2 linked regions of the Elephas maximus indicus genome follow. The protein of the gene in region 1 interacts with the protein of each later gene in a pairwise test. Links are inferred from orthologs where the notes say so. Each region holds a gene or a part of one and is shown in the gene's direction. Other genes may lie near its edges.

Region 1 (7,614 bases):
TGGTGACCCTGCTGGTATTTAAAATACCAGTAGCATAGATTCCAGCATCACGACAACATGCAAACCACCACAGTACATGCTAAACCTTCGTCCAAATGCTTGGGATACTCTAGTGAACAAAAAGATCCCTGTCCTCAAAATGCAAATCAAAACCACAATGAGATATCACTTCACTCCCACGAAGATGGCTGTCTTTAAAAAATGGAAAACAACAGGTTTTGATGCTGATGTGGAGAAGTTGGAATACTCATTCACTGTTGGTGGAATTGTAAAATGATGCAGCTGCTGTGGACAACACTTTGGAGGTTCCTCAAAAAGTTAAACATAAGATTACCGTATGATCCAGCAATTCCACTCCTAGGTATCTACCCAGAAGAACTGAAAGCAGGAACACAAACAGGTACTTACACACCACTGTTCACTGCAGCACAATTAACAATAGCCAAAAGGTGGAAGTAATGCAAGCGCCTATCAACAGATGAATGGATAAAGAAAACATGCAATGGGAAGAAATGGAGTGGAATGGAGTGTTACTCAGCCATAAAGAGGAATGAAGTTCTGATACATGCTGCAACATGGATGAACCCTGAAAACGCTATGCTGAGTGAAATGAGTCAGTTGCAAAAGGATAAATACTGTGTGATCTCACGTATATGAAATATCTAGAACAGGCTAGTGTTTAGAGACCAAAGTTTGTTAGTACTTACCAGGGAAAGGTGGGGGAAGGAGGTGTGATGGTTAAGATTGTGTGTCATCTTGGCTGGGCCATGATTCTCAGTGTTTATATGTGTTTACTCCCATGATGGAATCTGCTGTGAGTAATCAATCAGTTGAAAGGAGTTTCCCTGAGAGTGTGGCCTGCATCTGAATATAAGCAGACGGTTCTGACTTCTTTGCTAGCTCTGGATCCTGAGGGTGCCTCCTGTTCATTTGACCTCCAGCTCTTGGGACTTGAGCTATCAGCTTATCTGCAGTTATTGGTATTTGTCCATCTTCACAGCCTGTGAGTGGGAGCCCTGCTCTCTGACCTGCCAGTCTCGGGTTTGCAGCCCCTGCAGCTACGTGAATCAATAGAAGCTTCTATCCTGATCCATAGACTTGGGATGTTCCCTACAATCGCAGGAGCTGTTTCCTTGATATAAATCTCTCCTTATATATATTTGGAAACCCTGGTGGTGTAGTAGCTAAATGCTATAGTTTGCTAACCTAAAGGTCAGCAGTTTGAATCCATCAGGCGCTCTTTGGAAACTCTATGGGGCAGTTCTGCTATGTCCTATAGGGTCGCCATGAGTCAGAATGAACTCAACAGCTATGGGGGCGGGGGAATATATATATATTTATATGCTTTACTGGTTTTGCTTCTCTAGAGAACATAGCCTAAGACAGGGGGTGGGGAAGGAGGATTGATTGCTTAGGGGGATACTAAGCTAAGGGTGATGAAAACATTTGGAAATGGATAGTGGTGATGGGTGCACAACATGATGAAGGTAATTAATGTCACTGAATTGTACATGTAATAAAGGTCAAAATGGCAAATGTTTTGTTACATATATATATATTTATCATTAAAAAAAAAAAACCCACCCCATCTGGAGCAAGGAAAAATGAAGAAAACCAAGCCACAAGGGAATTGTGTCCCCCCAAAATGTGACAACTTGGCTAGTCTATGATTCCCAGTATTGTGTGATTGTCTACCATTTTGTCTTCTGATGCAATTTTCCTGTTTTGTAAATCCTACCTCTATGACGTTAACGAGGCAAGATTAGTGGCAGCTATGTTAATGAGGCAGAACTCAATCTACAAGATGAGGTTGTATATTAAATCAATCTCTTTTGAAATATAAAAAAGAGCAGCTAGCAGAGAGACACAGGGATCTCATACCACCAAGAAAGCAACACCAGGAGAATAGCTGTCCTTTGGACCTGGGGTGCCTGCGCTGAGAAGTTCCTTGACCAGGGAAGACTGATGACAAGGACCTTCCCCAGAACCAACAGAGGGAGGGAGCCTTCCCCTGGAGCTGGCGCCCTGAATTTGGACTTCGAGCCTACTAGGCTGTGAGAGAATAAATTTCTCTTTGTTAAAGCCATCCACTTGTATTTCTGTTACAGCAGCACTAGATAACTAAGAAAGGACTAATGGACCACAACCATTCCAGCCTCCACTAGACATAGTCCATCACAACTAGGTGGTGCCTGGCTACCACCACTGACTGCTCTGACAAGGCTTACAACAGGGAGTCCTGGACAGAGCTGAAGAAAAATGTAGAACAAAACTCAAACTCACATAAAAAGATCAGACTTACTGGTCTGACAGACTGGAGAGACTCCGAGAGTATGGGCCCTAGACATCCTTTTAACTCAGAACTGAGATCACTCCTGAGGTTCACCCTTCAGCCAAAGATTAGACAGGCCCATATAACAAACAATAATACACATAGCTCCACCATGTATATGAAACCAAATGGACACACCAGCCCAGGGGCAAGGAGGAGAAGGCAGGAGAGTACAGGGAAGCTGGACAAATGGAAATGGGAAACCCGAGGTCACAGGGTTGGCAACCAGTGTCACAAAACAATATTTGTATTGTTTAATGAGAAACTAATTTGCTCAGAAAACCTTCATCTAAAGCACAATACAAAAAAAAAAAGCTCCTTGTCGTTACACAGCTGATCTTCAATGCCCCACCCATTAGAGATTCTGTGACCTATAATTGACAGTCCAAACTGGAACACTTTTGAGAGTGGAAAGTGTGCTATTAATAATTGAGCCTGATGAAAGGTGTAAAGTTCATTCTCGGCATATTGGGACTTATCAACCCAGTTTTATAAAACGTAAACTTATATCTCTACCACAAATGGAAAACCACTATCACCTGCCTTAAATAGGTTAGTAATGTTAAAAAGAAAAAAACAAAATCACCTGTCTTAAATAGGTTAGTAAAGTTAAGGTCAATGAAGATAAAACAATGTAAAATTCTAGCTCAAAAACTGATCTATGGTGAAATACAGAATAGTGGTAGCCTCAGGAGGGGTGAAATCCTTTGTTCAGCTCTTTTACTTCATTTCTTCTGTTTGTATCATGTTTGGTAAAACAGAGGGTCAGTGAAAATGAAGGAAACTCTCAATGAGATGGATAGACACAATAGCAACAATAATGGGCTCAAAATACCGATGATCATGAAAATGATGCAGGACTGGGCAACGTTTTGTTGTTACATATCAGGATGCCCTGAGTCTAAGCCAGCTTGGGGGCAACCAACAACAACATGGGAAGAGCAGAGTGGGGACTGACAGGGTATAAGGGAGCTTTCTGCCTGAGGGTGATGTTTGGTTACCTTTATAGAAGTGGGTTACTCAGTTATATGCCTTTATCAAAGCTCAGCAAATGTCCCTTAAGATTTGTGCATTTCATTGATTATAAATTTTACCTAAAAATAACAAAAACAAAACACAAAATGAGCTATAAACAAATAACGAACTCTAGTTAAATACACCAATGTTTAGAAGTGAAGCAGACTAATGTCTTCAATTTTTTTTTTAACCGAACTCCAAAACAAACCCATTGCTGTCAAGTTGATACTGACTCATAGAGACCCACAGGACAGAGCAAAACTGTCCCCCTAGAGTTTACAGAAGCCGACTGCCACATCTTTCTCCCTTGGAGAAGCTGGTATGTTCCAACTGCTCACCTTTCAGTTAGCAGCTGAGTGCCTAACCACTGCGCCATCAGGGCTCCTCTATAAAGATTACAGCTTCGGAAACCCTATTGGGGCAGCTTTACTTTTGTGATACAGGGTCACTATGAGTCGACTGACTCGATGGCACTAACAACTGTGATAAATCTTATGGGGGGAAAACAGGGTAAGGGGACAGAGAGAGGCAGGAAGACACGTTGGAGAGTGCCTGGTAACCAGTGAGGATTCATAATATATTTGTTAAACAAAAACTTCATGACATAAAAAGTGGTGAATTAATTTTTTATGTGTTCAGGGAAATAGTCTAGCTATCCTCAAAAGAACCCATGAGGTATCCACAGGAGGAAAATGAGGCACAGAGAACTGACACATGAGTCACCAATATAGAGATGGAAACTGCAATGGAAATCACCTCGCTCACAGCCCCTCGAAAATGGTCATTTACGTAGGGAGGCCAGAGCTGAGTGCACTGACCTATGACGTCACTGGGACGCTGACACCTCCTACACCTGGACGTAGCCCCATTTCCCTTCTCGAGCGGGTCCTCCGGTAGTAGGGCAGGATCTGGAGCAAGGCTCTCATTGGTAATTCGCTCCGTCAATCCGTTTCACTCCTCCAGTCTTCCGCTCCGCCTTCCTGACCTCGCCTCTGATAGGCTAGTGCGGCCATCACTTCAGAAAGGTCCGCATTCCTTCCGCCTTTCTCCAGGAGACAGAAGGCTAAGGGGGCGGGCTCCAGACGGCGCCCACCCCGGAGGCTCTGCTTCCGCCTCTGATTGGCTTTGTCGGGTGCCAGTTGCTCGGCCGCCCGTCGCTGATTGGCCACTCGACCGCCGCTCTGTGCCACTCCGGCTCCGCCCCCGCTGGGTGTTTGTGGTGGGGCTGCGGAGTCGCCGATCCCGCCGGAAGCGCCAGGACAATGGGGACCCGGGACGACGAGTACGACTACCTATTCAAAGGTGCGGTCGGTGGGACACCGACAGGCGAGGGCGCGGCAACGAGGCGGCGGGCAGACGAGTCGAGGCTGCGCTCCGGGCCGTTGGGCCCAGGCCGGAGCTCGGGACCTGGGACCCGTCAGGTCCAGCAGCGAGGAAGGCCGGGCAGACTGGGTTCCGTTAGCTCCAGGCCGGAGTGCGCGGCTGCGAGCAACCGGCGGCCCTGGGAGGCCTGGGGACCCGGGATGCGCCGGGGCGGGGTCGGGGCCCAGAGGGGGTGGGGCCCGGAGCGGTGGGAGAGGCCGTTGGGGTGGGGCCTTCGGAGGGGGCGGGGCCGCCCGGGATTTGGCGGGCCGGGCTGGGCTGGATGGATGACAGAGGGTGGGCCTTCGGGGCGGGGCCAATACATGGTGGGCGTGTCTGAGATGTGGACTGGTTCTGAGCTCAGGGGGCGGGACTCTGGGGTGGGCTGGGCCAGGCCTGTTGGGGGCGGGGCTCGCGAGGGGTGGGGCGGATAATAAGGGGTGTGCCGTCGTGGGGGTCCGAGGTGAGGTACGTAGTGGGGCGACCCTGGACTGGGGTGCACATCCTGAATGGGGCGGAGGAGCGCCTGTGTCTGCACCTGGACCTGGTGAAGAACAGAACTAATGATACTAGATGCTTGATAGCACTCACCAAGTATCTTGTCTTTTCTAAGCAGTTTGCACACAGAAATTTATTCAAATCCTCTCCACAATCCTATAAGGTCGTTATGACTCCAGCTCTTTTTTCACAGATTAGGAAACTGAGACCCAGAGAGACAAGGACAGCTAGTAAGTATTAGAGGCAGTTTTGAACCCTAACCTAGGGAGTGTGTTTGAAGGGCCTTGGCACCAGGACTGGGACTCAGGGCTGTTAGACCACCTCCCAACACATGCAGGCTGATGGCACCAGCATTGGCCAACCTTCTGGGGATCTTCCCTGCCCAAGGAGCACCAAGTATGGCCTACGCGGTTCTAGCCAGCCATTGCTTGCTGGGACCAGCTGAGGAGCTCCTTCATCCTGCCCCTGGAGCTGAGGAGACTCCCTCCCTGTCACTGGAGACTCTGTGCTGTTTTAGGGGTCATTGGCTTTGCAGGAGTCCCTGGTGGTACAAACCATTAAGTGCTTGACTGTTAAGCAAAGAGTTGGTGATTTGAACCCACTCGGAGACACCTTGGAAGAAAGGCCTGGCGATCGGCTTCCAAAAGGTCACAGCCTTGGAGCACAGTTCTACTCTGATTCCACTCTGACACACATGGGTTTGCCATGAGTCTGAATTGACTCCACAGGCACTGGTTTGGTTTTTGGCTTTTGGTTTTGCAGCGGTTTGCATGCAAAGCTGAGCAGTGACCAGGTGCTCTCCTGGGCTCCCTGGCTGACAGTGATCACCCTAGAGAGCTGCTGACTGCCTGCTGCCTGCTGTGTGAGGATTTGCCTCCCATGTCAGCTGAGGGCATCTTGCTCCCAATGGGGTCCGTGTCCAGAGCAGGCCTTGCCACCTCTTGTGTCTGTGGTATCATCTGTCATCTTGAGGCCAGGCCTGGGGTCCTTGAGATGAGAAGAGTGGGGTGCAGGTCTCCTTGCCTGGGGTATCCATGCAGCAAAAAGCTTCCAGGCAGAGAGAGCCCCTGTGCAAAGGCCCAGCAGCATCACAGCCCCATGGGCTTGGGACCTGCCAGCAGGCTGATGCATTGCTGGCAGACACAGCTGTCTGTTCAGTGAGGCCTGAATGTTGGGACCTTACCCTAAAGCTGGGGGGTGCTTTGGAGGGACCCTCTGGGGACGAGTGACCAGCCTCCAGTCCTGTCACACTGGTCCAATCTGCACTCAGCCTACACAGAGGCAGCTACTCTGTAGATCCCTGCTGGGCACCCGCCCTCTGTGGCCCCGCCAGAGCAGCGGGACTTTTCCAGGTCCCTGTGTCAGCTTGCGGTGTATTGGGTACTGATTATTCTCGACCTTTCATTGTTATAAATAACCCGGTACTGAGGATTTGTGCAAGCCATCGTCTTTTGCCCTTTGGGCTCTTTCCTTGAAGTGTGTTCCCAGAAGTAGTTACTGGGTCAGGGGCAACAAAGCGGCCATGCAGTTCCCAGGATGAATCCCCAGAGTCCGCTTCCTGGAAACGCCAGTGTGACTTCGGCAGCAGCTGGCGCGGGGGGTGGCGGGGCGGGGGGGGTGGGGGGTCGGGGGGGCCCTCCTGCCTGCCTTGCTGCCTTCCCCCCCACTGGCCTCCTTTCATGAGCAGGTGCCCTGCTGACCTTCTTGAGGTGGTTTGGTAGTGGATGTCCAGCCCACAAGATCAGCATTTCCCGGACTATGGACGTAGGAGGTGTCACCTTAACCTTACTATGTGCCTCCATCCTAGGACCATCTACTGTCGTTGAATATTTTTCTTTAAGTTCCCTCATTTTGTCACTCAGGTAAATTTTTTGGGAAAGGAAGCTCTCTGTGACCTTGGACCATGGTGACGCCATGTGTGCAAAGTAGAACTGCTCCATAGAGTTTTCCAGGTCGTGACTTTTCAGAAGCAGACCGCCAGGCCTGTCTTCTGAAGCTCCTCTGGGTGGTTTTGAACTGTCCACCTTTCAGTTAGTAACTTTTGTTTTTGTTAGCTGCTGTTGAGTTGATTCCAGCTCATAGCGATTCCCTGTGTGTCAGAGTAGAACTGCTCCATAGAGTTTTCAAGGCTGTGATCTTGTGGAAGCAGATTGCCAGGGCTTTCTTCTGAGGCACCTCTAGGTGGGTTCAAACCGGCAACATTTTGGCTAGTAGCTGAGCGCTTAGCCATTTGCTTCACCCAGGCATCCCACGTGGGATCACCCTGAGTTGGAATACACTCGACAGCAACTAACAACAGTAGCAACAAGTGACTCTGCCCGATCAAAAAGGAGAGACGGGAAGAGAGAAGCCACCGCCATCACTTGCCGTACATATGGCAGGTGGGCAGGAACAAAACCCTGCAT
Region 2 (7,693 bases), on another chromosome or scaffold:
AGTGAGGAAAACAAAACAAAAAACCACCAAAAAACCCCAAACTGCTTTATTGCAAATATAATTTCAAATCAGTTAGCCAAATAGTTTTTTGTTTTAACTTTTTGACGGACGTGGGGATCTGTCTATTCACATATCTCCAATATACCCCTGGGGCTTTGTCATATGTATATAAATTTTATATACATTTGAATTGTGTACCTGTGTGTGCTGACTCATAGTGACCCCATGAGTGCAGAGTAGAACTGCTCCATCATATTTTCAAGTCCCTGACCTTTCGAAAGCAGATTGCCAGGCCTGTCTTCTGGGTTTGAGCTGCCAATCTTTTGGCTAACAGTCAAGCACTTAATTATTAAGTTTGTACCACCCGGGGAACCCTGTGTGTGTGTGTGTGTGTGTGTGTGTGTGTATAAAATACATATGAGTCTGAAATCTGAATATTGTAATGATACCTTGGAGAAAACTTCTTCCTATCTTTAGGTCCCTGAATCCCCATCTGGAAAATAATTACCATCCATTATAAAATGAGAATCTTAACACTCTTGACCAAATGGGCCATTTGAACACAAAGTACTATAATTGTTCTACAACAGATTTGCAAGATGTTCTCATACGGATAGTGATATCCAAAGGAAAAATCCTCCACAATGCTTGAAATGAGTCCCCTTACAGAAGTGGACTGAAAAGTACACCCTTCAGAAAGTACTGTCATCTGCACAATGCTCCACCATTAGGGAATAAATACTATTTTTACTTTCTGGTCCAATCATTTTTATTCATCGCAGCAGGCATTTTGACAATTTAAAGTTAGAATTTTCAGGATTTTCTCCCTTTACGATATGAACTTTTTCCCCCAATTTGGAAAAATTGTGCCAAACATTTCATTAGTCATAGGATTAAAAAAAAAAAAAAAGACTGTCTTCTATTCTGGTATGTTGTCCTTACACATACAATCCTTTCCTTTTTAAATTATCGTTCATGCACATCTTAAAATTAGTAAAAAGAATATTTAAAACAGAGCCAGTAAACATTTTGGCAGAACTGCTTTGATCCCAGGGCTTACGTAATTGCCATTATTTTTCACTCTGAGCCAACCGTATATTTGACCCAAGTGACATTTTTTTTACCCTCTTAGTACAAAACCAAAACCAAACCCATTGTCGTTAAATTGATTCTGACTCACAGTGACCCTACAGGACAGAGTACAACTGCCCCATATGGTTTCCAAGGCTGTAAATTGTTATGGATAGGCTGCCACGTCTTCCTCCCTCAGAGTGGCTGGTGGGTTCAAACCACCGACTTTTTGGTTAGCAGCTGAGCCACCAGGGCTCCTCTCTTAATATAAACAATAAAACAACAACAACAAAACTACTCTTCTATGGGAAATCATTTCACTTTTATAAAGCAATTCCAGATTCTCTTTAGCCCATTTTGTTTGTTTCCCTCAGGAGCAAAAATATGCTGTTTTTCTTATTCTGATTTACAAACATGAAGTCATAACTTCTGATCTTGCCAGATAGTAAAACTAAACCATTTTGGCTCTAGCTAGGTTTTGGAGAACTCCAAAGAAATGTAGGTACTACAGGAAGAGATGTTAGTAATTCTAGTTTGTTCAGTTCTTGCCTTTAGAGTATTCTTTGAATTGTGTTGGAGTGTGTTGTTGTGTTGCTGTGAACTACTGCTGCCAACTTCCACCCTAGAGATGGCTATGTTTCAGAGATGAGTGAAATGATACTTGTAAACAAGTTTATAATCATTAATAAAGCGTACCAAACAATTTAAGCTCTTTAGAAACACACATCCGCTATTATAATTGCTTATTGTTTAATTATAACCTTTAATAGAGATGTGAAGACTTTTAAAAAGGCACCTTATAAAAATCCTAAACTTAATTAAGCTTGACTTTATGATGTTTATTTTGTTTTTGTAAGTTTCAGGTGTCGAATTATTTCTCCCTGGAGATCTTGATGAGATTCCACCATTGACTGTTTCAGTGAACTCTTTAAAAATCCTTAAGACTATTTCTCTTTAAAGTTGACAGTTGCCCACTCTGGGATCCAGATGCTGTATTTGTAGGACTCTGGTTTTGTTCTGTTTTCCACACATGGCCTTTTCACACACTAGCTCCCAGAGATGGAAAATTCTGCCTCTTTTTTTATGCTTCATAGTAAAATTTCATTTGAATGACTTAAAACCTAGGACTTTTCATCCTAAATGGTATTTAGCTCAGGATTATTCAAGATTTACTTGTAGTTAGGCTCCCTGAAGATCTTGGTAGTAAATTAATCCAGTGTTTCTTTTGGGAGCGCCTACTTTATACAGAACTCACACCAGCTACTATATGGGTAAACAGTACTAAAAAATTGAAATTTATAATAAATGAAGGGAAATTTATAGACACTAGCAAGTGTCAGCAGACTCCTGAAAGAATGTGCTGGAACCTGGGTGGTCTTTGAGGTTTGTAGTCTTATCCTTCAGGCTCAGGGAAGTATCTTCCCTCTAGGAGATTAAATGACTGCATAACGTTACCCCCTCTAAGGTTCTTCAACTGTATAGCTGACTTTGTGACACGAATATATTGGGTCTTCATATCCCCCCATGCAAAAAGCATTTAATGGAAAGAAAAAAAAAACTTTTTTTTAACTTCACTGTTCCTTTTTTTTTTTTTTTTTGTTCCTTAGAGTTTTAAATGCTGCAGCTAGGATCCTGTAAACATGGGGACACCGAGAAAACATGGAGTGCATAAAGTCCTCCTTGAATGAAGACGTTTAAAACCCTGCCTGAAAATAATGAACACAATGCCTTACGTTCGCACAGCCATTTTAAGTTGGAAAAGAGTATTCCCATCTATCATGTTGCTTTACTCTCAAAATCTGTGTAAAGGAGAAAAGGTATTCAGTTATTCAATAAATTGGAGTACCTACTGCATGCCAGGCTCTATGAGGAGAGTCCATAATACCTGTGCTTGAAATTCCCTTGCTGTTACCTAAGACACCAACAGAAGTAAATGCAATAAAAGGTAGTACAAAGGTCCCCCTTATAACTGAGAAGTAGAGAGGCCAATGGAAATAGAGAATTAGGTGCCACACTGCGCTAGGAAATGTACACTATCTCATACCACTCGTCTTAACTCTTTAACAGGTATTTTATCTACAGTTTATTGACAAGGAAACCGAGATTCCCAGAAGCTATCTCCAGCCTCATTCTGGAGGTGTCCATCAGGAGCTTTGTACAAAGCTTTTGCCTCATCATCAGCCATTACCAGTACTTTCTCCGCTGGATTAGGCTAGCACCGGCCCCCCCCCACCCCCAAAAGCGCACAATTAATTTATCCCCATATTCTTCTTTGAACAGAGCTCCCTCCATTCCAACCGCGTTGGTGGCCATTTGGTTTCGGCTTTAGCGCAGGTAAGGCACGCGTGAAGGTCCCCACGATGAAGTAAATGGGCTGTTTGCCTTTCTGAGCTGAAAGGAGTATTACTGGAGTAAAGTCTGTGGGTTTGGCATTCCAAGTTGGGGCAAGGTCTCCAGATGATCTGGGTAGTCTACCAGACTGTGAGTGCCCACAGGGGAGGGCCGCTTTCCATGCTGAGCCTCTGAGTCGACACTGAGTCTTAGACACGATGGAGGCTTCAGTTTTACCCGTGAAGAAAAACTGGAGCCGAAGGAGGGGAAATGACTTGACTAGGGTCGCGCGGAAGAGGTGAGATCGGAATCAGGTCTTCTGACTCCAGTCCAGCGCCTCTCGCGATCTTTATTAACTCATGTGTTAGTCTTGGAATCTTTTGTTATCTGCTTCCCTCTCTCCTTTCGTCTGCGTGCGGATGTCATCTCCAGTCTATTGACAGGTTTCTCTCCTTTCACAGAGGGGTGGAAAAGGGTGTGGGGAAAAGGGTTTTCCGTCAAAAAAAGGGGACCAGTTCCTTCCACCACCACTGATGGAACGCCCGCTCTGTGCCAGGCACCGGGCAACCAGGGGACAGCAAGACGGGTTCCCTGCCTTCAAAAATTGAAATTGGCTCTCTCGCTAGTTTCCAGCAGGTCCCGGGGCCTTGGTTACCTCCTCTCGGGAGCAGTCCCCAGTTCCCCCCCGGGGCTCTCCACCTGGCCTTGCAGGCACCGCACCCAGCACGGTGCCAGGCGCGGGCATCAGGTGCAGCATCCAAACTAGCAGCACCCAGCATGGGGAGGGGTGGCTCTGCAGCCGGCGCCCTCGGTCGCCACGGCAACCAGGGAGGTGCTGACCTCTGACCCTGCGGCCCCTCCGGCCCCGCCCCTTCGCCTTCCCGAGATCAACATGGAGAAGGGCAACCCGGAAGTGCCGCCGCCGCCGCCCGGCCGGTGCTAGGAGCCGCCGGCCCCGCGAGCTCAGGCCCCGCGCCCGCCGCCTCAGCCGGGCCCGTCGGCGTCCTGCCGGCGCCCGCGCCCCGCCCCGCCCCACCCCACCCCCGCGGCCGCCCCCGCCGAGAGGAGGAGCCCAGGCGAGAGGGGGAGGAGGAGGGCGAGGTTTGAGAGAGGGAGCGAGGCCGCCGGCGGTTCGTATTACCCGGGTCGGGCGGAGGAGCCGGGCCGGGCCCGCGGCGAGCGCGGGGCGGGCGGGCGGGCGGCGCGCGGCAGGCGGAGGTGGCCGGGCCGCGAGGAGGCGGCGGGAGCTGGGGCCGCAGGACTCGGGCGGAGGGGGAGCTCGGAAGCCTCTGCTTCCCAAGAGGCCTCCTGCCACCTCTGCAGCCTCCGCCGGGCCCAGGTGGCCGGGTCTCACCTGCCGGCAGGCCCGGGGGCCGCCCGCCGCCGAGACCGGTCTCCGGGGCGGGCGGAGCGGGAAAGTGGAGAGGCGAGGTGCGGGGGTCCGCGGGGAGGCCTGGAGCGCGGCCAGGTGATGGTGGGCCCCTGCTGCTCCGGAGGAAAGGGGACCCCCAGAGCAGCCGTACCCCCGTGCTGCCCCAGGCTGGCGTTTTGACATCATCATCCCCAGGGAAGTGGGCCAGCGCCGAGTTCGCCTGGTGTCCCTTAAGTGCCCTTAAGATGCAGTGATCAAAGCATTAGGCTGTCCCCCGGCGAGGGGCACTGCCTGCGCTTGGGGACTCGGAGCAGAGAAAAAGGGCAGAATGATGCTGTCAGAGCAAGCCCAAAAGTGGTTTCCAACCCACGTGCAGGTCACAGTGCTCCAAGCCAAAGATCTCAAGCCCAAAGGCAAAAGTGGTACCAATGACACGTACACTATCATTCAGCTGGGCAAGGAGAAGTACTCCACCTCTGTAGCTGAGAAAACCCTTGAGCCAGTCTGGAAGGAAGAGGCCTCCTTTGAGCTACCAGGGCTGCTAATGCAGGGGAATCCAGAGAAATACATCCTTTTCCTCATAGTTATGCACAGGTCCCTGGTGGGGCTGGATAAATTTTTAGGGCAGGTGGCAATCAATCTCAATGACATCTTTGAGGACAAACAAAGAAGGAAAACAGAGTAAGTTATGCAATTTATTTTGAATTTGGGGGTGCTTTTTTTTTAAGTATATCTTAGGAGCCTTGGTGGCACACTGGTTAGAGCGCTCGGCTGCTAATCGAACGGCTGGTGGTTGGAACCCATCAGCCGCTCCGCGGGAGAAAGATGTGGCAGAAAGATTTACAGCCTTGGAAACCCTATGGGGTAGTTCTACTCTGTCCTGTAGGGTCGCTCTGAGTGGGAATGGAGTTGATGGCAGTGGGTGGACTTTAAGTATATCTTATTTATGGATTTTCTGTTCTTGGAAATTATTTGTGTATTTGAGGCATTGGTTTTGGGGTTGCAAAAGGACCAGGTTTTAAGCACCATATTTGTTTGCATGGTCCTGAAGTAAAAATAGTCGTTGAAGAGACACTTTTAAATGGAGTCGCTAAAGACCGCTCTCCTCTCATTTCTGTTTGAGGTAAACATTGTTAAATAATCAAATATTTTGCACCGGATTTTAAGCAAATTAACACTGTTTCACTATTTATAAAAGGATTGGATCGCAGTGTTTAACAGCTAAAACTTCACATGTGTAAATTGTTAATGAGTTTTAAACATGAAACTTTTCCGTAAAATGGAACATCAGAAAATGAAATCTGCCAATACAGCATTTTAATATAAACATTGAACTCTGAAGGTGTCAGAGATAAATGACCAAATTTAGAACTCAGTATTTCATTTCAAGACTCTAAACACAGTTGGTCTTTATTTTAACTCGACCATTTTTCAGGGTCTGTACATCTTGGTGAAGTCTAAAGCTGTTAAGAAAAAAAAGTTTTAAAAGTGTGTACAAACATTCTAAACTTTGAACACACTCACAGTATTTTCCTTTGAATATACAATATGTTGAAGCTAGTGTGTTGTGTTAGAATTAGTTTTGCAAAGCTGTCGTGTGTAGGCCATATTAAATGTTCTAAGATTGGAGACAGTTCTTATGATTAAATGATTTAATGACATTTTCAGTGGAAACGTGGTCTTCTATGACTTTCAAGCTTGGGTTAGATATTTTGTAATTAAAAAAAAGCCATAATAAAAGTTAACATAGAATATCATAGCTTAAAGTGAAAAATAGTGTGTTTTCAGAGATAGATACACTCACTGCTTCCCTAAACTTAAAATTTTTCCGGTCCGAGAGAACAGTAAGGTTAATGCAATTAATGAGAGAAAAATACAGGTTGAACTTAAATCTTGAAATTTCCAAGACAGCCTTGATATTTCTTTCAGTCAGGAATTTATTTTCTCTTAAAATTTTTTAAAAATAATAACTTTCTTAAAGTTTATATGAGTTTTTTATGTTTTAAATTCTCTATTGTTCTTTTTTATGCATGTCTGCCTGCAGGCTTCTCTTGACTGGGCTTTTTCTTTTTTTTTAATGAGGTCTTTACCTAAGATTTTTTATATAGAGTAAAAGGGTAGAGAGATAAGAAATAGTAGGAATTCAGGAGGAAAAATAGTAAACATTTAAACTAAGATGAAGATATTTTAAGAAACAGAAAAGGTTAAAAAAAATTGTAAAGTTGAATACATCTCAGTGACTTTAATATCAAAACTATTTGATTCCTAAAAAGTGTCATCTCAGTTTTCTCTGAGTTCATCAGATTTAAAACAAAAAATGGATAATTTCCAAATAATTCGTATTGAATTGCCAGTTTTAAGTGACAGTGTTTTTAGACTTTGAAGTATATCGTAGCTTCAAATTTATTACATTTACAGTCTTTTTAATATTAATGAATAATGTATTACAGGCCTTCTCTGAAATATAAATTTTCCAAGTGAAAGTAGGCCCAAGTGTGAATCCGAAGATACTGAGGATGAAGTAACCTTTTAAAGTTTCTTCTTGTTTTTACTCCTTGTCTTTGGCAGCACCGTAATTACCATAAATTTGGCTATGAGCAGTACTCTAACTAATATCAGAGTCTCTGCCTATAGCAATTCTATACTGGCTATTACATAGAATTCATTAGACCTTTGGGGGGAAAACTGCTTTTAAATATTATCAGTAGGGCTTGTGATGTTGCTGCAATTAAAGTGGTTTTCATATGGTACTGTGCCCTTAACATTTTCCTACTTTGTGGATAAACGGGGACCACGTGCTTCATGAGGTATCTTTATTGATAATACTTCTCATTTTTTAATATATTTAATAGTTTCCTTTTTCCAGCACAGCTGTACATGTGGCGCAGTTAAGAAACAGACTTGGATCACCGGTGTATT

The links. The genes of interacting proteins can lie anywhere in the genome.
Region 2: the proteins of RAB11B (region 1) and RAB11FIP2 interact in binary tests that used the Homo sapiens proteins (3 or more experiments, as listed by UniProt). The link is inferred for Elephas maximus indicus from reciprocal best matches to the Homo sapiens genes RAB11B and RAB11FIP2.

Annotation. Positions count from the first base shown.
Region 1 is NC_064821.1:13,111,129-13,118,742, forward strand, and holds the start of RAB11B (ras-related protein Rab-11B), read left to right. Parts: upstream 1-4,540; 5' UTR 4,541-4,611; coding exon 4,612-4,651; intron 4,652-7,614. UniProt on the Homo sapiens protein: The small GTPases Rab are key regulators of intracellular membrane trafficking, from the formation of transport vesicles to their fusion with membranes.
Region 2 is NC_064834.1:68,771,756-68,779,448, reverse strand, and holds the start of RAB11FIP2 (rab11 family-interacting protein 2), read left to right. Parts: upstream 1-4,655; 5' UTR 4,656-5,102; coding exon 5,103-5,455; intron 5,456-7,693. UniProt on the Homo sapiens protein: A Rab11 effector binding preferentially phosphatidylinositol 3,4,5-trisphosphate (PtdInsP3) and phosphatidic acid (PA) and acting in the regulation of the transport of vesicles from the endosomal recycling compartment (ERC) to the plasma membrane.